Linked DNA regions of Cricetulus griseus. The protein of the gene in region 2 interacts with the protein of the main gene of each other region in a pairwise test. Links are inferred from orthologs where the notes say so. Each region holds a gene or a part of one and is shown on either strand. Other genes may lie near its edges.

Evidence for each region.
Region 1: the proteins of Ubash3a (region 2) and Gfap interact in binary tests that used the Homo sapiens proteins (3 or more experiments, as listed by UniProt). The link is inferred for Cricetulus griseus from reciprocal best matches to the Homo sapiens genes UBASH3A and GFAP.
Region 3: the proteins of Ubash3a (region 2) and Fgfr1op2 interact in binary tests that used the Homo sapiens proteins (3 or more experiments, as listed by UniProt). The link is inferred for Cricetulus griseus from reciprocal best matches to the Homo sapiens genes UBASH3A and FGFR1OP2.

Annotation. Positions count from the first base shown.
Region 1 is NC_048600.1:115,222,484-115,229,634, forward strand, and holds the start of Gfap (glial fibrillary acidic protein), read left to right. Parts: upstream 1-2,752; coding exon 2,753-3,207; intron 3,208-4,037; coding exon 4,038-4,098; intron 4,099-4,319; coding exon 4,320-4,415; intron 4,416-5,393; coding exon 5,394-5,555; intron 5,556-5,917; exon of another isoform or gene 5,918-6,332; coding exon 6,333-6,458; exon of another isoform or gene 6,459-6,686; coding exon 6,687-6,907; exon of another isoform or gene 6,908-7,151.
Region 2 is NW_023276806.1:259,579,908-259,586,401, reverse strand, and holds part of Ubash3a (ubiquitin-associated and SH3 domain-containing protein A), read right to left. Parts: intron 6,087-6,494; coding exon 5,900-6,086; intron 4,818-5,899; coding exon 4,619-4,817; intron 1,964-4,618; coding exon 1,794-1,963; intron 619-1,793; coding exon 410-618; intron 1-409. UniProt on the Homo sapiens protein: Interferes with CBL-mediated down-regulation and degradation of receptor-type tyrosine kinases. Promotes accumulation of activated target receptors, such as T-cell receptors, EGFR and PDGFRB, on the cell surface.
Region 3 is NC_048601.1:3,101,164-3,107,657, forward strand, and holds part of Fgfr1op2 (FGFR1 oncogene partner 2), read right to left. Parts: intron 4,330-6,494; coding exon 4,212-4,329; intron 2,970-4,211; coding exon 2,827-2,969; intron 194-2,826; coding exon 80-193; coding exon of another isoform or gene 71-79; intron 1-70. UniProt on the Homo sapiens protein: May be involved in wound healing pathway.

The DNA.
Region 1 (7,151 bases), on a different chromosome or scaffold from region 2:
TTTATTATGTATACAACATTCTGCTTCCATGTACATCTGCACACCCGAAGAGAGCACCAGATCTCATAATGGATGGTTGTGAGCCACCATGTGGTTGCTGGTGCTGAACTCAGGACCTCTGGAAGAGCAGTCGGTGCTCTTAACCTCTGAGCCATCTCTCCAGCCCGCTTATGTGTATTTTCTGATTTCTCTACAGTGAGTGTATAATAAAACACCAATATGAAAGTTTGTAATCAAGTGTCTTTGTTTTGTCTCTACACACAAAGACCCTTTGAGAGAGTATAGCAAGGATCCAAAAGCCCAGTGGGGTTAGAGTGGAACTTGGTCCTACATCAGGGGTACAAGGAGGGGGTGAGGGGCAGAGACTGGAGGACTCCTTGGCTGGTACTGAAATAAACTCACATAAACAGGACGGACTCTCCAGTTTTTCTGTCAAACCTCTCCTGCTCTTGTCGTATCTTTTCCCTTCAGAACCACTTTGTTTGGACCTAGAAAGGCAGGCCACTCCTACCCTCTGAGATGTGTCCTGAGTTAAAGGCTGGTCTCTAGTAAGGCTCTTCCCTTAACATCCCCTGTTCTTTAGCGTTCCAGCTTATAAGAATATTAATAGTCACTGGGGGGCAGGAAGTGGTCATGCAAGCCTTTAATCACAAAGGGGCAATTGGATTGCTGTGAGTTCCAGACCAGCTTGATCTATATAGTGAGTTCCAGGGGACATGATGACATACTGCCTAAAGGTTGCTGGGAACTTCTCTCAAGATCTGCCTTACTATGCCGTTGTCCTCAATGGGGGAAGATATGGCTAGATCTTAAGGAGCTCCTTCCTTTCCCATGCTGGGACTCGCTAGGGGAACCTCAGCCTGTGCAAGTTCAAGTGAATGCCATGTCCCTGGTACCGAGTAAGGGATGCTGCTGTGTCAGGAGCTCAGGGGTCTGAATTGGCTTGAGCAGGGGGAGGGGGCAAGCAGCCAGGCGTTGTCTGTAAGCTGGCTGCCCCCAGGACCTCCTCTGTGTGCCCGCTGAATGACTCACCTTGGCAGAGACACAATGGTCAGGGTAGGCACACAGCCTGCTTCCCGTTGCACTCCAGGCCCCCTTCGATGCTTTCCGAGAAGTCCATTGATCTGGGAGCTTGTACAGCACCAGGGGCTGACATCCTGGCATCTTAGGATAAAAGCAGCCCAGCCCCCTTGGGGCTGCCCTTGCCGTATGGCTCCCTCACTGGCGGCAGAGAACAAGGCTCTATTCAGCAAGTGCCCTGGAGCAGGGATCAGAAGCTCAAGCATGGACAGAGGGAAGCAGGGGTGGGGGGAACTTAGCTGTCTGTTTTCCAGAAGCCCAAGGGCACAAATGGCTAAGGCGCCTGGGAGGGACCAGAGTGGAGGGGATGGATAGGCCTGAAGTCTCACGGCAACAGCCTCCTCCCCACCATTGATGATAGTGAATTCTGGCTTCCCAGACCTAGAGATTCCCCAGAGGCCTGATGTGTGGAAATTTGAAGAAGATAAATCTCCTGGGAGAATGAGGGGTGACCAGGAGGACAGGGTGTTACAAAAATGAAGATTCCAGCATGCACAACCAACTCATTCATAGCTACTCTGTAGAGCTGTCAGGGGCCAGGCTCGGGGAGGAGTAAAGGGAAGCTGGACCAGGAAGAAATGGCCCAGTAGGCTAGACACGATGCCAAAGAGGGGCTCAGGAAGGAGGTCTGCTATTGTACCCTATTAGGGTCCTCATGCATTCCTTCTGTCTTGCCCCTTAGACACACAGCTAGAGGCCCAGGCTGGCCCTGGAGTCATAGGGAGGGCCCCAAGCCCAGCCCTTCACTCCTGAACTCCAGGAATGAGAAGACAGGATGGCAGGGAGAGGACTCTGGACACCTGTTGGGAATGGGAGTCAGCAGGAAACTATCATATAGGCTGATCCTGGAGGCAGGGCATAGATTCTTCAAGTTCCTAGCATCTCACAGGCCCATGGAAAAGTGCAGAATGAGGGTAGCCCTGGCTTCTAGACGCTAAGAGCAGGGGGCAGCTCACCCAACCCAGCTCGTGCTCACCCTCTCTCTCTCTCTCTCTCTCTCTCTCTCTCTCTCTCTCTCTCTCGTGTGTGTGTGTGTGTGTGTGTGTGTGTGTGTGTGTGTGTGCGCGCGCGTGCGTGTTTGCTCACATGCTCGAGTGCACCTACACACAAATGCTTGTTCATTGCAAGATATTCCTGTGTGGGCCCATGTGCACTGAGGTTAAATGTCAGCATCAGGTATTGTTCCTCAGACACTGTTGCCTTGGTTTTCTTTGAGACATCGTTTCTCTCTGGGACCTGGAACTCACCCATTAATCAGTGAGACCCAAGGATCCTCCTGGTTTTCTTTCCCCAGCACTGGAGTTACAAGTACACATCGTCAGACCTGACCTTTTGTTTTCATTCTGTGACTAGAACTTGAGTCTTCATGCTTGACAGGCAAGCAATTTATGGGCTGTTTCCTCAGCCACTCTAGCCCTCTCTTGACCCATCTTACCAGAAAGGGGTTTTTCTTCATCACTGGTGAAGCCAAGCTGGTGTGCCCAGGGAAACCTTGACTCTAGTACAAAGACCTCAGTGGGGTGAGAGGAGCTCTCCCCGTAGCTGGGCTAGGGCCCAGCTCCACCCCCTCAGTCTATTCAGTGGGGTGCTGCCAGGAAGTCAGGGCAGAGCCAGTTCAGCCCATTCCTCCATAAAACTCTGACATCCCCAGAGCCAGCAGGGCCAGGGCAGGATGGAGCGAAGACGCATCACCTCTGCACGTCGCTCCTATGCCTCCTCCGAGACGGTGGTCAGGGGCCTGGGTCCCAGCCGCCACCTGGGTACCATCCCACGCTTCTCTTTGGCTCGAATGCCTCCTCCACTCCCTGCCAGGGTGGACTTCTCCCTGGCCGGGGCTCTCAATGCTGGCTTCAAGGAGACTCGGGCCAGTGAGCGCGCTGAGATGATGGAGCTCAACGACCGCTTTGCTAGCTACATCGAGAAGGTCCGCTTCCTGGAACAGCAAAACAAAGCACTGGCAGCTGAGCTGAACCAGCTTCGTGCCAAGGAGCCCACCAAACTGGCGGACGTCTACCAGGCAGAGCTGCGAGAGCTGCGGCTGCGGCTGGACCACCTTACTGCCAACAGTGCCCGGTTGGAGGTGGAGAGGGACAATCTGGCACAGGACCTGGGCACCCTGAGGCAGAAGTGAGGAGGGGGTCAGGGAAAATGGCTAGACAGAACCGAGAGGGATGCCTATAAGGAAGGGTACTGACTCTGGCAAGGGCTCGGCGTTTCAGCTGCTGCATTTCCCCATGCCTGGGAAAGGGAGAGCTATCTTTGCTCCCTAATATGATGGGAATAGGCAGGGAGAGGCCAGAACTTCAGCGATCTGATTCCCAAAGGTCTGCTGCCAGGGAGCCTGGCACGCGGGACATCTCCACACTGGGGAAGGCTGTGTGGGCAGCGAGGGCACCAGCCAGCAGGTGCTCTGCTTTTTCATTCATTTGGCACTGTGAATCTGACGAGTGAAGGCTTATGTCCACAAGGAGGCTCTGGTCTCTGAAATAGAGAGAATGAAAGAAAGGGCAGGCCTGGGTGCAGAACCCCGATGACTGTCTGTCACCAGTTTTTGTCATAGCTGTGAAGGAGAGGTCATGATACAATCTGTCCTAAAAGGTGGAACTCTGGGGCATGGTGCTTTGCTGAGTGGTGGACATTCGTGTGCCCATATAGTGCAGGAGGTGCACTGGTGTCTGTAAAGCGTGCACATGGTGGTGGATGCGCCTGTGCGAGCATGAGCAGGTGCACCAACCCCGATAAGGCACCTCAGTAATGAGTTAAGGCAGAAACTCTTATCTGCTGCTTACTCTCTCAGCCAGGGCCTCTGTTTAGGAAGCCTCTGCTCCTTACGTCTCCTGCCACTCTGTGGGTCCTGTGAGAGTGTTTTATGACAGTCAATTCCATAGAGGTTGGGACAGGGATCTAATAAGAGTTCTTAGGAAAGCATTAAGCCCATACTGTGTCCCATATCCCAGGCTCCAAGATGAAACCAATTTGAGGCTGGAGGCTGAGAACAACCTGGCTGCCTATAGACAGGTCAGAGAGATGGGAGGGATGGGCAGCTGGGGTGGGGGTGTGTGTGTTGGGGGTAGGGCTTGGGGGTGGGGTTAATGACTGCCCACCCAGACATAGGCCCTGAACTTAACCCTTCACTGCAGTTGCCTGCTTCCCAGACCCCCACAAGGAGGGAGAAGACAAAACTGGAGGTTGTAGTGGGGTGGGCTCTGGGGTCAAAAAAGGCCCTCTCCCCACTCCAGGAGGCAGATGAAGCTACCATGGCCCGTCTGGACCTGGAGAGGAAGATTGAGTCGCTGGAGGAGGAGATACAGTTCTTGAGGAAGGTCCATGAGGAGGTGAGGCCAGGTGGAACGAGGGAGGCCAAACAAGAATCTTCAAATGAAAGAGACAGACAGATGGACAGATAGATACTTAGAGAGGGAAACAGAGAAGCCAACTGTCAGGAAGAAAGAAAATGAAAGAGAAAGAGTGAAGACAGAGAGACCAAGGGAGGTGTTTTCCAGTGTCTCCTACCCCTGGAAAATGCACACAGGCCCTCCCCCACCACCATGTTTTGAGAAGCACAAGGCCAGGTCTTTAGTTTCTTCTCCACATCAGCTCTGTGAGCCCTTCTTGTGGTCTCCTTTCATAACAGGAAGGATGTTGAATCCTAGAGAAGTTAAAAACAAAACAAAACAAAACAACCACCCCAAAGTCACACAGCCTGTCTGGTTTCACCCTCTCCCCCACTTGTCACCAGGAAGATGGGAGACAGTCATGAAAACCCCTCTGAGGACATGCCATCTCAGCATTTGGGAGGTAGAGGTAGGAAGCTCAAAGTGTTTAAGGCCAATTTCAGCTACACAGAAGATTTGAGATCAGCCTGGTCTCCATGAGACCCTGTCTCAAATACACACACACACACACACCCCTCTGTTCTCTGACCTCAGAGCCAGGATGCAGGACATATTCATGCCTGGCTCCTGAACACACAGCCCTGGGAGGAAGACGCCCTCAGATTCTCATTCCATACCCATTAGGGTTTTTATTTCTACTTTTTAACAGGGTCTCACTGTGTAGCCTTGGCTTGCCTGGAACATTCTATGTAGAGCAGACTGGCTTCAAAATCATAGAGGACTGCCTGCTCCAGCCTCTCACATGCTAGGGTTAAAGGTTAAATGGCACATGCCCATTAGCTTAGGCTATGCACTTCCTCCAGTAAAGGCTGCCCCATTTCCCTGAGCCAGTGACATATCTGGGCAGGCAAAAGTGTGATGCTGGGAGAGCCCCAGCTGTAGCCTGGGCCTGAGATACCCCTTCTTTTACCCTATTAGGAAGTTCGAGAACTCCGGGAGCAGCTGGCCCAACAGCAGGTCCACGTGGAGATGGATGTGGCCAAGCCAGACCTCACAGCGGCCCTGAGAGAGATTCGAACTCAATACGAGGCAGTGGCCACCAGTAACATGCAAGAGACAGAGGAGTGGTATCGGTCCAAGGTACCCGTGGGCTAGCCTGCCTCTTCCAGGCAGCCCTTCCTGATCCACACTGGGGAATAGGGAAGGAGGCTTGGAAAATAACCTATCTAGGTGACCAGCTTGCTCAGAGAAGTGAGATGGCTTGCCCAGGACCACACAGGCATTACGACTTCCCAAACTACTCATTGTTATTGCTACTACTATTTTTAACCAGCAAGGTTAAAGGTTAACTAGTTTGCACAATGTCACACAGCTCCTAAGTGAACAAGGGATAAAGTTTCTAATCCTAACCCATCTCATTTGAGAGCCTGCCTTTTTGATGCCTCTGCCAGTCTGTGTCCTGTGTTCCTGAACGTCTACTGTGTGCCGGGTACTCCCCAAGATACAGAGAAACATTTATTTGGTCAAGGAGATATCAGAGTTTATACAGACTGGGAAACAGGGGCTTGTGCTAAACAGGCAGCTTAGAGACTCAAGAGAAGAGGGAAGGGCGTCTCAAGTAGAGAACAGGCGTTGTGAGGAGGCCTGAGACAGAAAAGCAGAGACTGGAGGTGTTGCTGGCCAGGGCACAGAGTCCAGTTTGAGCCGCAGAAGCCAGTGACAGCCTGAACATGTTGAAGGCCTGATAAATCCTTCGGTTACAGTTGCTGCACCTGGGAGAGACCTGAGGTCGACCCCACTTTTCTGATTTTCCAGAGACCGTGTCTATCCCCCATCCCAGGCAGCAACCTGGTTTGTGCACTGTGCCGATGGGAGGCTCCAGCCCTCCCTTCGACTTCAGTTCCTCTTTCGATTTAGTTTGCAGACCTCACAGATGCTGCTTCCCGCAACGCAGAGCTGCTCCGCCAGGCTAAGCACGAGGCTAATGACTATCGCCGCCAACTGCAGGCCTTGACCTGCGACCTGGAGTCCTTGCGCGGCACGGTGAGCACAGGCAGGGACCACTGGTCGGATGGGGGCAGCCGTCACCCAAGATGTTGCTGGAAGGGGACCGGGCGGGGGGGGGTTGGGAGGGTTGAGGGTAGATGAAGAGTGGTAAAGGGAGGAAGGAATCTGAAAAGTTGGAGGTGGGTAGGGGGCTGAGGCTGAGGGTGGGGCCTCAAAGCCCCTTGGAATCACCGGACCAAGTGATCAGTCGGTTCCATCCGGCAGAATGAGTCCCTAGAGAGGCAAATGCGTGAACAGGACGAGCGCCACGCGCGGGAGTCGGCAAGTTACCAGGAGGCGCTCGCCCGGCTGGAGGAGGAGGGCCAAAGCCTCAAAGAGGAGATGGCTCGCCACCTGCAGGAATACCAGGATCTACTCAACGTCAAGCTAGCACTGGACATCGAGATTGCCACCTACAGGAAATTGCTAGAGGGCGAGGAAAACCGGTGAGCTCATCTCCTTAGAGCTGTTTTTTCTCCTTAGAATTCCCCCTAAGGTACTCCAGTAGCCTTGTATTCCTTCCACCCCCAAAGTCCAGCCTAAGGCATAATAGGTATTCAAGAAATGACTGAAGGATAGATAGATAGATAGATAGATAGATAGATAGATAGATAGATAGATAGACAGACAGACAGACAGATAGATTCATTCAACCAGTATTAAGTTCCAGGGCTGAGGACTTGAGCTATT
Region 2 (6,494 bases):
CACTGTGTGATGCTCCTAAGAAGGAAGTATTTCACAGTACTATCTCAGAGTAATTGAAGCAATCTGATTTCCAGAGGGCTATCAGTAGAAACCATAAATAGATTATACGTTTACTGTGTGCATAGAGGGATAATGTGGCCACTATGGGGACTGCTTTTCTCTTCTCTTCTTTTCTTTCTTTCTTTTTTATTTTTTTGAGACAGGGTTTCTCTTTGTAGCTTTGTAGACCAGGCTGGCCTCAAACTCACAGAGATCTGCCTGCCTCTGACTCCTGAGTGCTGGCATTAAAGGCATGCGCCACCACTGCCCTGCTCGGGACTGTTTTTTATAAGGACAGAACCATCTAGAAGCCCATCACCACTGTGCCACTGTTTCAGATGACAACTGACAGAGAAAGGACAGTTCTCACCTGTGCTTAACCCAGGTGTCAGCCTCATTGGCTCGCTCTGTGTAGTTCTCTGGCAGGAAGCCCCGGCAGCCAGTCCGATGTGAGATCCCAATGGCCCAGCCCTCACTAGCTTCCTCCTGCTGTGTGGGGTCCACGAAGATGTAGTCGCCTCGACTGAGCATTAGCTCATCTGCATTCTGGGGTTTGTACTGGAACAGCGCCTTCAGAGTCTAGGAAGTAGAGCCACGTCTTAGTGAGGGTTTGTCTGGGAAGCAATAGCATCAGGAAGCCAGAAACCTTATGTCTAGCCTTCTGGCTCCTCCAATGTGTCTTATGCCTCCAAGGCCCCATTGTGCCTTTACCTAGTGGTATGCAGTGTGGAGTCAATGTGAACCACTGTGAGCCAGTGTCAAATATCAATAAAGTTTACTGTTTGTCTTCCACCAGTCTACCTACTAATCCACCAACCACTTGTCCATTCATTTATCAGCCCACCAACATGTTTGCTCATCCTTTTGCCCACCTACCACCCATCCACTCATGCATTCATCTTTCTATCCAGTCATACACCCACCCACCCATCCATCCATCCATCCATCCATCCCTTTTCATTCATCTGTCTGTCCATCAATCTACCCATTCATTTTCCCATTTATGCATCTATTCAGTTGGCCAGCTGTCTGTTTATCTACTCATTCATCTACCTGCCTATCCATCTATCAACCCATTCATTCATTCATTCATTCACCCATTCCTTCCCTCATCCATACATCTATATATCCATCCATTCAGACATCTATCTATCCACCATTGCATTCTTTCACCCATTTATCCATCCACCCACCCATCCATCCATCCATCTATTCACCTATCCATCCATCCATCCATCCATCCATCCATCCACTTATTCACCTACTCACCCACCCACCTATCCACTTATCCATCATTTATCCATATATCTGTTTCTCTTATGGGAAAGACCTTACAGTGTGACCAAATGTGTATAACCACCTTCCTTGGTGTGAAGCTATTCATAACTTCTCTTATGGCAGGGAATTGGTGGTTCTCTCATACTTATTCTCTGTGCAACATACTTTCTTCCTCAACTAATTAGCTCTTAGGAAAAGGAACCTTGAAACGAAGCCCATCAAAATCATTACATAAGGTGATTTAACAAGCAAACCATTTATTAACACATCTTGACAATGGGCTTTTCTAATACCGTGGGAGAGCTTTCACTGTCTTTTGAAATGACTGTGCATGCCCAACTCGTCTATAAAGGAATATAACTTCTTAACTGCACATGAGGAGAGAGATCTAGCAGAAGGGAGCCCCCTCTTCTCTTCAGGGAGGATTGTAGAAGTGAACCTCCTACCAGCAAGGCAGGCTGGGCCACTACTCTTACCTGGTAGTGCACAAACCGCATGTCCCGGGAGTACAGGGCAGCCGTCCACTGGCAGGTGTGGCTGGGCTGGATGGCTCTGGCCAGCTGCTCCAGGGTCCTTTGATGGTGAGGGTAGAACTTATGGGCCAAGGTCAGGTGCAGTTGCTTAGTGCAGGGCTTGACGGTACAGTCTGTGGAGTTAAGGAAATGCCGGATGCTGAATGTCCAGTGAACATAGGGTGTTGGGTACCCATTCTGAATGTCAGGTGAGAACCTGTCCCTGAATGTCAGCCCTGTCTGCCTGGAACAGGCAGACATCCTTTCTAATTATGCCTGCTCCTTATTGTTGGTGCTTTCTTGACAAGGCAAGGACTGGGCTCTCCCTCTTAGAAAGGATGTGGTTGGATGCTTGCAGAGTTTCTGAAGAAAAACAAAAGGTAGGCACAGAGATGTGGCTCAAAATCTTGAGAGCCCTTAGTCTGCAGCTAGTTTGAATGTTAGAAAAGCAGCAAATGGCCCCTTCATTCTCTGGTGCACACATGGCAGGGCCTAGACTCTAGGTCTAGGTTTGCTTTGGTTTTGGTTAGAGACAGAATCTCATGAGTCCTAGACTGCTTTGAACTTGTTATGCAACTGAGGATGACCTTGAACTTCTAATCCTCCTGCCTCTATCTCCTGAGTACGAGGATCAAAAGTGCGCACTCCCATACCTGGTTATGTGTTTCTAGGGACTGAACCTAGGGCTTCATGGTTGCTAGGCAAACACTCTACCCACTGAGCTACATCCCCACCCCAGACCAAAGCCTTTTGCTTAAAGAGGGGTCACAGGAGGAACATTTCTTGAGCAGTGAGCTGTAAAACCTGAAGCTTGTCTGACGTGCATTTGACTTTCCTCATTGGAAGCCCTGGTAGTGCTGAGGCCCGGTGCTTTGTGACAGCCTCTGACCTTGAGAAGCCCTTGGCTCCTGGTTGGCCTTTGAGTCTTTCAGATAAACAAGAGACACTGGCATGCAGGAACAACCAGCTGTGGTGACAGCTGGGTGGTAAAATCTCTCAGACTCCGAGGAGGCAGTTCCGTGTCTTCACAGGAATGGCAGACTTTGCTGTAGAGGGACCTGACTACAAGGCTCTTTTGTCCTTGTCACCACAGGGGCCTTGACTGAGAGTCATGCTCTGACTTAGCTTCCTTTATGACAGCTGGGACTTGAGGACAAAGATAGCTGGCTCCAGGACTCTGGAGTCCTCGGAGAACTTTCAGTGCCCCAAAACTGCCTGCCACGTCTCCATGCAGGGCAGGAAGCAAACAGGACTTGCTATTCCCCTAGTGAAAGTTCTGGAAGGTGCAGGCGCCATGACATTAGGTTCACCACAGCATTCTCCACACAGGGGACCTTTAGCACCAGCTAGACCCTGGCCAGGCTTCTGTGAAGGCAGTCAGCACAGGTGGCATGAAGGTGTGTGTAGGTGATGGGAATTTCCTTTTGTGACTCTTTTTAGCAGTCGGGGAGGTTGGGTTCCCTTGTGAGTCAGCACAGCCTGGAAAAGACCTGGTCTGGCTTCCCCAGAGACAGGGGTGAGTCATGCTGACTTCTGAATAGGCTTTTGTTTTTCCTCTGTTGTTGCCCTGTGTACCTGGGTTCAGTTTCACCCAGAGGGCTGGTGTGGGCAGGGAGGGACTCCAGACACTCCTGAGAGGAAGGACTGCTGCTAGCCTCTCAGGTCAGACTGAGGCATAGCCCCAGAGGGCAAGAAGAGCCTGCTCAGGGTCAGGAGATGGATAAGAACTCAGGGCCAGCTCTACCAGGAAGTGAGGCCTAACAACACAGAGCCCTGGTAGTGTTCAGTGAGGCAGAATGCTCATTTCCAGGCCTCCAAGATGGGTGAGTATGGCACTCACTTCCTGCTGCAACAGGATATCAAAACTGGGCTGCATAAAGCAACAGGAGTTTATCGTCTTAGGAATTTAGAGGCCAGAAGTTCAAAATCCAGGTGTGGGCAGGGCTACATTCCTCCTGAAGGCTCTGGGGTGTGTCCTTTGGTGTCATCCAGCTTCTAGTGGCCCCAGGCATCCCTGGGCTATGGCTGTATCCTGCCCATCTCTGCCTCTGTGGTCAAGTGGCCTCCTTGTTATCTCCATGTGTCCTTTAGAGGGAACCAGCTATTGATTTAGGATCACTTTATTCTAGTGTGACCTCATCTTAACTAATTGTAATGTTAAAGAGCCCACTGTTGAATAAGGTCCCATTCTGAGGTTCCTGGAGGGAGGGGACCATGTATAACCCAATACAGTGATGCCAGACAGTCTAGTTTCCTCATCTCTTTCTCTCTCTCTTTCTCTCTCTCTCTCTCTTTCTCTCTCTCTCTCTCTCGCTCTCTCTCCCTTCTTCCCTCTCTTTCTTTCTCTCCCTCCCTTCCTTTCTCTCTCCCTCTCTTTCTCTCTTTCTTTTTTTGGGGGGACAGGGTCTCATGTAATAAAGGTATGATTCACACTTTCTCTGCCTCCCCTTTCTGGATTACAGGTATGTGGACCTCATGTCTGAGATATGTAGCACTGAGGATCAAACCCCTCACCCTGGCAAGCACTCTTACCAACTGAGGTACACCCCTGGAACTTCCTTACCCCTTTTAAGGTGAGGCCTCTAAGACCTATCTGGGAGCATAGAGACGGGTGTCTGTCCGAGGGCAGTGTCTGGTGTGCTGCTTCCAGACAAGAACCAAACTATTCCTCGGAGGATGGTCATTAAAGAGCCATCATCACGGACAGGAGCTAGTCTGTTAGGGCCTTAGGTGTGGCTCTGCTGGGACACAAAGGGAAAAGTGTATCTGCCCACAGCTGAGATCCCCACCTGCTAAGACTGATGCCTCCGTGGCGAACGCTGTGGCGAACTCCCTGATGACGTCTGCGGGGCTGTCGTTGATGAAGAAGCCGAGGTAGCTGATGGAAGAATGGAGGACAAGAGGCACCAGGGTAGGGAAGGAGTTCAGGATCCTGTCCCCTGCACGCCTCAGAGCCTCATACAAACACTCCACCTTCTGGTCTTCACACTAAGGGAAGACGAACAGAGAATGAGTGTCCACCTGTTGAAAATCAAGGCTTAACCACTATGGGCTGCTCTGTATCCAAGGCACGGGATACTCCTTACGCAGCCCCTGCAGTTATAAAGGTTTACCCCCATATTTTCTCTTCAGTTATTTGAGGCATCTCGGGTAAGGGTCTTTCTGTAATATAATCCCCCTTACGTGCCTAGATTGGAACTCCCCTGTCACTGTCTCCCTGTCACCTCCCCAGGCAGTCTTCTTTCCTTCTGTGCCCCTTGCTTGTCTCAGTTTTCATGGGTTAGCCTCTGGGAGTCGCCAGTCAACTCTGAGGAATCTCATGGGGTCCCATGGGATCCCAGCTCAGACCTCCAGGAAGCAACAGTTTAGTTCTGTCCCCAGAGACCTCTTAGTCTCAGGCACACAGAGGTGCGTCATGGATGCTTGGGAGGTGTTGTTTTTCCAGGGGACAGCTTCTAGAAGCTTCTTTATCGACCACTGTGCTTTATACTCCTCTAGCAGTGTGGAGTGGCAGGAGAAGGCTCTGCCTGCTGTCCTGAGAATAGATGGGCCCTTCTCTAACTCATCAGGTACAGGTATAGAGGAAATGGCTCAGGGGCCTCCTTGTGCTCAGGCTTTCTCTTTGTCCACCAACTGTGCCTCTGCTGACTTCACCAATGGTTTTTGTTTTTCTCAGAGGGCCAGGCCCTGGCATAGGAAAGACCCTGGTCATGCCCAGCCCAAACCAGCACTCTTCAGGATTCTCATCACACAGGAGGCTCTTGCTCTGTTCAGGACTTTGCTAGTTTCTGGGTAGATAAGGACCAGGGCAGCATCTGTCTTCCTATAGGGACATGTGACTTTCATAGCACCCAAATGTGCTCCTAGAGATACTGACGGGAGCCTGGGGTTGTACCTCCTTCTGCCTGGGGAGCTGAAGGCTCTAAATGAATTGGGTCCTGAAGGCTAGAGGAAGGAAAAGATTCCCATCAAGGAGCCACCTTTATGCTAATGTCTTGGTTAAAATAAGTCAGTTGACAACTGGCATCAGTTGCAGTGGTGAGCATCTAAGGCCTCTGGAGTGGACTCACCGTGAAAAAGTCGCAGAGTGTCACATGAGGGAAGACCTCGTGAGCTCTGTTCTTCGCACACTGGCGCTTGCTCTCCCTCCAGAACTCTTGGAGTTTTTCCAGCAAGGGCCCCGTGGGGCAGAGGAAGAGCGCATACTCCTGGGGGATGGGGTCATCCAGAGAAGGGTCACTACAGTGGCCATGCAGCCTGCAACAGAAAACACTGTCGTATCAACTGGAGCTGTGCCCATTGAGGACACGCAACAGCAGTGACACCGGCCCAAAGTTAGTCTGGTCTCACACAAACACATCAGTGCCGTGGCCATCCCTGTAAGATGGTGCCCAGTGGTGGGGCTGTGTGGCTCTAGGCTAGACCAATGCATCCATGTTCTCAATCCCATTAGTCTTCCAATGCAGTCAAAGACAGAGGGGCTCAGACCCCTGTCTTCAGGAGAGTGCTCGTCTAGGTAACTTTGTGGTATTGAAACACAGGGAAATTTTTCACATTTTTACTTCACCGTGGACTTCAAATTAAATGGAAAAATTGAAACCACAAAAGATTGGACAAAATTTAGGTGGATGCGGGCTGGAGAGATGGCTCTGAGGTTAAGAGCAC
Region 3 (6,494 bases), on a different chromosome or scaffold from region 2:
GCAATTAGAAATAAAACAACTCTTTAAGTGGACCCCATCTCATCCCCCCCACCAAAGTTGACTGTGTGGTTTAGTGTACATTCTGATTGGCTTCCAAGTGCCGCCTCTCCAGTCCATGCTGAGGTGCTTCAAGAATGCGCCGAGATGCATCAAGGAAGACTCCTTCGCGGCTGCTACGATGCACCATGTCAATCTGTAGCACAGAGCCATTATAATGTTAATACGGAATTCTTCCGTAACTTAAACACCGAATGAGTGTTAGTTCATGCGTGTTAGCCAACCGTTGGAATGTTTGTTTTTTTAAGATTTCCAAAAAGGCGTCTGTTAAAATAATGATGTAAAAATAAGTATTTGGATGAAACTGAGTTAAATTTTCTAGTGATTTTTAAATATGGACTCATAAGGCTCTAGATAAGTGAAAAATTCTGTATCACTATGTCCTCAAGCAGGACACATGCTGCAAAGTGCAGCCACATGGAACTGTGTCCCCCAAAGAGTGGCAGAGGTATTTCTATGTCTAGGCATATCAGATCACTGGAGCCTAACCAAGTCTAGTCCTGCACTTCTGTGCCTTTATCTCATTTCTCTGTTTTGCATACCCCACTCCTGTAGTTGATTCAAGGCTAGATTAAATAATCTGCCTTCTTTCAGACTCTGCTTATGGAAACCAATACTGCTCTTCCTACTTCTATAGTAATGACTCATTTTTACCTCACTCTACCTTATGTTCTAGTTATGCTTGTTTTTGTACTTCCCATTACATGGCAGACTTAACAGTGATGTGATGTATTCCTTCATTAACCTTGCTCTTGCCTCTAGCAACTAATCCAATAACTAATAAATGTTTGATTTACTTAGTCAAAGTGTCTCCTTTTTGGGAAAAATCAAAACCACAAACATTAACATGTATTAGTTAGAATTAATAGCAAATAACTGAACAGTCACTTTATGGAAGGCAAGGATCAGCACTTGGATCATCTCAATCTACACAACAAATGTTAACGGAAGGTTTATGGCTATTTAGGAAGTGTTTAAACTTTTAACAGGACAGCACTGATGACTGGACACCCAATAGGTTTGTTTATGGGGTTGAACCCAGGGCTGCAGGTATGCTCAGCACATGCTCTACCATGGAGCTCTGCCTCCACCTCCTCATGTGCTTTAGAAAACATTCGCTCTGCCACAGTTACTACTATATGGGACTAACAAGATTTTACTCTACGCACTTTTTTGGGGTGGTGGTGGTGGTATTCACTCTTTCAAAACTTCAAAAATTTGGTTTTTCAAATTGTAAAACAAGAGGGCCTTCTGGAATTTCAATTCTTATACTTAAAAAAAAAAAACTCTCTTAGTTACACATTTACTTATTTTTAGGAGAGGGAAGGTAGAATTAAAACAGAATTTCATGTCACCAGGCTGGCCTAGAACCCCGACCTTCCTCCCTTTACCTCTCAGGTATTGGGATTAAAGAGGTATGTGTCACTGTACATGGCTTGATATACACTGAAGTAGCTACTCTGTAACCAATACTAACATTAACCATAGACTTTATGTTCAAAAGACCAGTTAAATACCCAAGGGTTTCCATTTTGTTAGGGCATGATTATTATAAATAGGTAACACTAAACCCAACTTTACTCCTTTATTCTCTTAGTAATCAACATGAGGTTGCTATTACAGTCCGTAATATGTATAACTGTCACCCAAAGAATACTACTAGTTATCTAATTCTGACAGGATAATTAGATATAAACGCCAATGTGGAAGAAATATTTTAAAGATTCCAAAATATAACTGAGAAATATATGTATCTTATAACTACCACTATTTCTTAAATAGTATTAGTTGTAAGTAGTTTATTTCACCATTATCCAAAGCCAGTCATCCAATCTAGTTTAATATTTTCATTTTCCACTGGCAGTTAAAATTCAGTTTAATGTAAACAGCAACAACTATTTTGCTTGTCTTGACAACTGCCCCCAAATGGCCGCAATTCAAGCAACTGCAAAAGTGCTCTAACTACTTCGGCTTTGCTTCTCAAATGATGTCATCTACATGAAGGATCCCCAACCCCATGGCTTCTCATGAAGACTGGACTCTTCAGGGAAACAATCGGCACTCAGCAGTGCACAGACTTTTAAAGTTTCCATTTTCTGCTTGTGTTACAGGTAGCACTACAGATTCACTGGAAAATTCTACTTAAAAGCAGAGAATCTCACAGAGTAATTTTAAACTAAACACACCTTTATTTTTACAATAGTTTATTACTGCACATATACAGACACCACACACACAGACACACCATTTTAAAGTTACTAAGGACACCAATAGGGAGGCAGACACAGATGGATCTCTGAATTTGAGGCTAGCCTGGTCTACACAGTGAGTTCCTGGATAGCCAGAGCTACACAGTGAGACCCTGTTAATAAGGAGTAATGTGAGTTACAAGAATAAGCCAAGGAGAATACAATATGTAACAAGAAATAGGGGGCAGGGTGGTGACGATGAAAGAAAATGTCAATTAAAAATGTGAGGTATTTCTGGCTATGGTGACACATGCCTTTAGTTCCAGCACTCAGGAGGCAGAGGCAGAAAGATCAAGAGTTCAAGGCTAGCCTGGTCTACAGAGTTGAGTTCCAGGACAGCAGCCAGGGCTACACAGGGAAACCCTGTCAAAAAAAAAAAGGGGGGGGGGAGAAGGGGATGTAATTATATATCATATCACACCAATTTTAGATTTTTTTTTCATTGTTTAAACTCTAAACATCGATTAACCAATGGCCCCAATTTTCATTTCAAGTCAAATTCGTAGACTGGATTGATTACCTTTGAGTGTTGCTCTTTTAACTTCATTATTATACCTGGGTCGTCTTTTTTGCTGGCCATTAGCAATCTGAACATCTGCTCTCGGTACTTGCTCATTATCAGTTCCAAGGCAGACTGGTGCTCTTCCAAGGATGTTCGCAGTTCTATCGAGAACAATGTGCTTTATTGAAATGAGCTAAGATTATACTCTCCCAAATCATATTTACCAAAACACTGACATACATGACATCTTAAAAGAGACCGTGCAGCAAAGAAGCCCCTCACCACTTTTTATTGAAATAAAGGTTTATGCTGTGTGTGTGTGCATGTGTGTATATGTGTGTGGGTATGTGTGTGTATGTGTGTGTTGTGTGTACACACACACGCCATGGCACATGCAGAGGTCAGAGGACAATTTGCAATTGACTTTTGTCTTCCTCCAGGGGTTCCATCGGGTTCCAAGGATGGAACACAGGCTGACAGGCTTGGTGGCAAGTGCCCTTAATCCTTGGAGACATCTCTCATTAGCTTTTTAAAGTGTTCATTTAAAACTGTTTCTTAAAAATCATTTCAGAGCTATGAGGCTGGACTGGGGAAAGTTCCACAGAATTATCACACTGCAATGAACTTGAGCTCTTATGGTGAACGCTAGCTAAAGGAACGAGAATCTTCAGCAAGGAGCATGAAAGTGAAGGCTATGTTAGGAGACTGAGGTAGAAAGGCAAAACAAACAGTGTGGAGGAGAGCTGTGTGAAGTGGGCAGAAGAGAGACCAGCAACTGACAAGGAAATAAAATCAAAACAGAAGATTTTAAGCAAGGGCATCATGGCCACATTTATTCTGGGGAGTTTGGACTTGGGCTTGTGTTGAAGGATGGAGAGAAAGCTGACAGTGAAAGTCTCCAGGTACAGCAGAGCATATGAGCAGCCACACTGGGACACGGCAGGGAGTGGAGTTCAGTTCTTCACAGGTAACAAAATGGTGTAAACCAGATGTGAGAAGCAGCTGAGAAGAGGATAAGCAGGGCAGAGCACAGAGAGAGCGCCTCCTCGTCACACAGACCAAAGAAGGAGATTAAATAGAAAGGAGGACTTCAGCTCACTATTTCCCCACTTAAAAGAGGATTCTATTTGATTTCACGTGCATGTGTGAGTACCTACATTGTCTGTGCACCACATACATGCCTGCGCCCCAGAAGGGGGTGTCAGATCCTCTGGAGAAGGAATGATGGGCAGCCAGGACTGCCTGACGTGGGTGCTGGGTACTGAACCTGGATCCTCTGCAACAGTGCTCTTAACCACTGAGCCATCTCTCCAGCCCCTCTCCGATTTGTGAATATACTTATTAGTCCCAAACTAGTACCACAATGGAAGACTAAAGGTCTTTTTCACGACAATCTATCTTGCCTTTGTTCTCCTGTTGCAATTCTCTGATCTGTCTGTTTTCTTGCTGGATTCCCATAACTAGCGTGGACCTCGGCCGGTGTCTTGCCACTTCATTGAGTTCTTGGATTTCTTCCTGATACTAATGAGAAGATTAAAAAAAAAAAAAAAAAGAACACATAGGAAGTCAATATTTGCAAATTTTTACCTGCTATATGGATATAAATGAACAGACCCTTTAAGAGTGAAACAGAGGCATTACATGACCCAACATTCCTTCCTTAGGGAAAAGAAAACATCCGTAGTACCAATACTCATAATAGGAAAAAAAGAGGAATTAGAGTACCCACACCCTGACCCAAGAGAGAAGAAACAAGACATGCTGTATCCCCTAAAGACTGACACATACGAGAAACCAGATGAAATTTAAAACATGTCAATAGGCCAATCACAAAAGCCACACAGCTCATGTCCTACGCACACAAAGTGTCTACAGGTCTCGAACAGGCAAATCCACTGGGAGAGAGGTCAGTGGGAGTAGAGAGGGTGGGAAGCCAGAAACACACTGACCTGACCGGCATAGAATTTGCTTAGCATGAGCAAGGCCCCAGGTTCCATCCCTAGCACTGCAAGGGGCGGTGGGGGTAGGTTTGAGATAAAGTCTATTATGTAGCTCTGGCTGTTCTGTAACTCAATATGTAGACCAGGCTGGCCTCAAACTCACAGAGATCCACCTACTTCTGCCTACCAAGTGCTGGGATTAAAGGTGTGCACCACAACAGCTGGCTGGATTTTGAATTTTTTTTAAAAAAAGCAGGAATCTTAATTTTAGAATTATTCTTTTTTCTGGAGGCATTCTTACTGGATAGCTGGGAATATATTTACAGTAACACTCCTGGTTCTTAACTGCAGGTGTCAAAGTCCGATTGTAAAACACATCACTACCAGGTTTATGCTTACTGTCATCTGGACGGATGGTCAAGGAGCAGACCACTTTAGGGAGATGCAGGTATAAAACAGAGTAAGTGGACTTGCTCCAGTATTTCTGGTAACTTTTAAGGAGCCTTAGTTCAGGTTCTCCCCCTACCCTCTTGAGACAGGGTTTCTCTGTGTAGCCTATGTTGGCCTTGAACTCGGACTTGTGTCTGCCTCCCAAGTGCTGGGAATAAAGTTGTCTGCCACCACTGCCTGCCTAGGGCTGCTTCCTTAAGAGTTGGAAGTCTTTCTGGGGGGACAGCTTATACAGTAGCTGAACTCAATCATCTACTGGGAGTTTCCTCTACATGCCAGTAGCAAGAAGTAAAACCTACTTAATTCCTATTGTAAATGACAAATTTAAAACATGCTAGCAAAAAAAAGAACTTGAAATAACCGCACAGGATGAAAATTAGATACTTCTTTACATCATTTAAAAAAACTTATTTGGTTGCTGGGCGTTGGTGGTGCACGCCTTTGAACAGCACTCAAGAAGCAGAGGCAGGCGGATCTCTGTGAGTTCAAGGCCAGCTTGGTCTACAGAGAGTTCCAGGACAGCCTCCAAAGCTACAAAGAAACTGTCTCAAAAAACCAAAACCAACCAAACAAACAAACAAAAAACAAAGTAACACCCAAGTACTTTTATAAAGGAAAGTATAAACATCTCAACATTATATAATACAGCAAATATCTAATGTGTGCCAGTACTAGTGAAACGTGTTGTCTGATCCTTATCAAATGTATTTAGATTTAACAGTTTCACTTATTTAACTCAAATATGCAATTCTGTCAGAAGAGGGATGAAATTCATAGATTTTAAAATAAACCTATGTACTTGTTAGTGAACACGATTAATATACCCTAGTCCACAGTGAAGCAAACACACAAGTGATGCTATGTGAAGACTGCAATTAGAAATTATCTGATTGTTTACTGTGGTTTGAATGAGAATGGCTCCCATCCGCTCCACATCATCAGATGCCCTTCTTAAGCTTCCCCTAAGATTGTCCATTATTTAGAGAAAGGCATTTACAAATATCGTGTTCTGGCTGTTGGGATGCTCACAGATTTGAACACTTGGTCACCAGGAAGTGACATTATTTGAGAGGATTAGGAGGTGTGGCTTTATTGGGGGAAATGTGTCACTGGGCGTGGGCTTTGCGGTTTCATTCCCAGCCCAAAGCCTCTTTCTTCCTGTTGCCAGTGGATCTGAATGTAGAACTCTCAGTTACTTCTCTAGCTCTGTGTTGACATGCTCTCAGCCGTGATGAAAACTGTAAGCCAGCCCCAACTAAATGCTTTCTTTTATAAGAGCTGCCGTGGTCAGGGTGT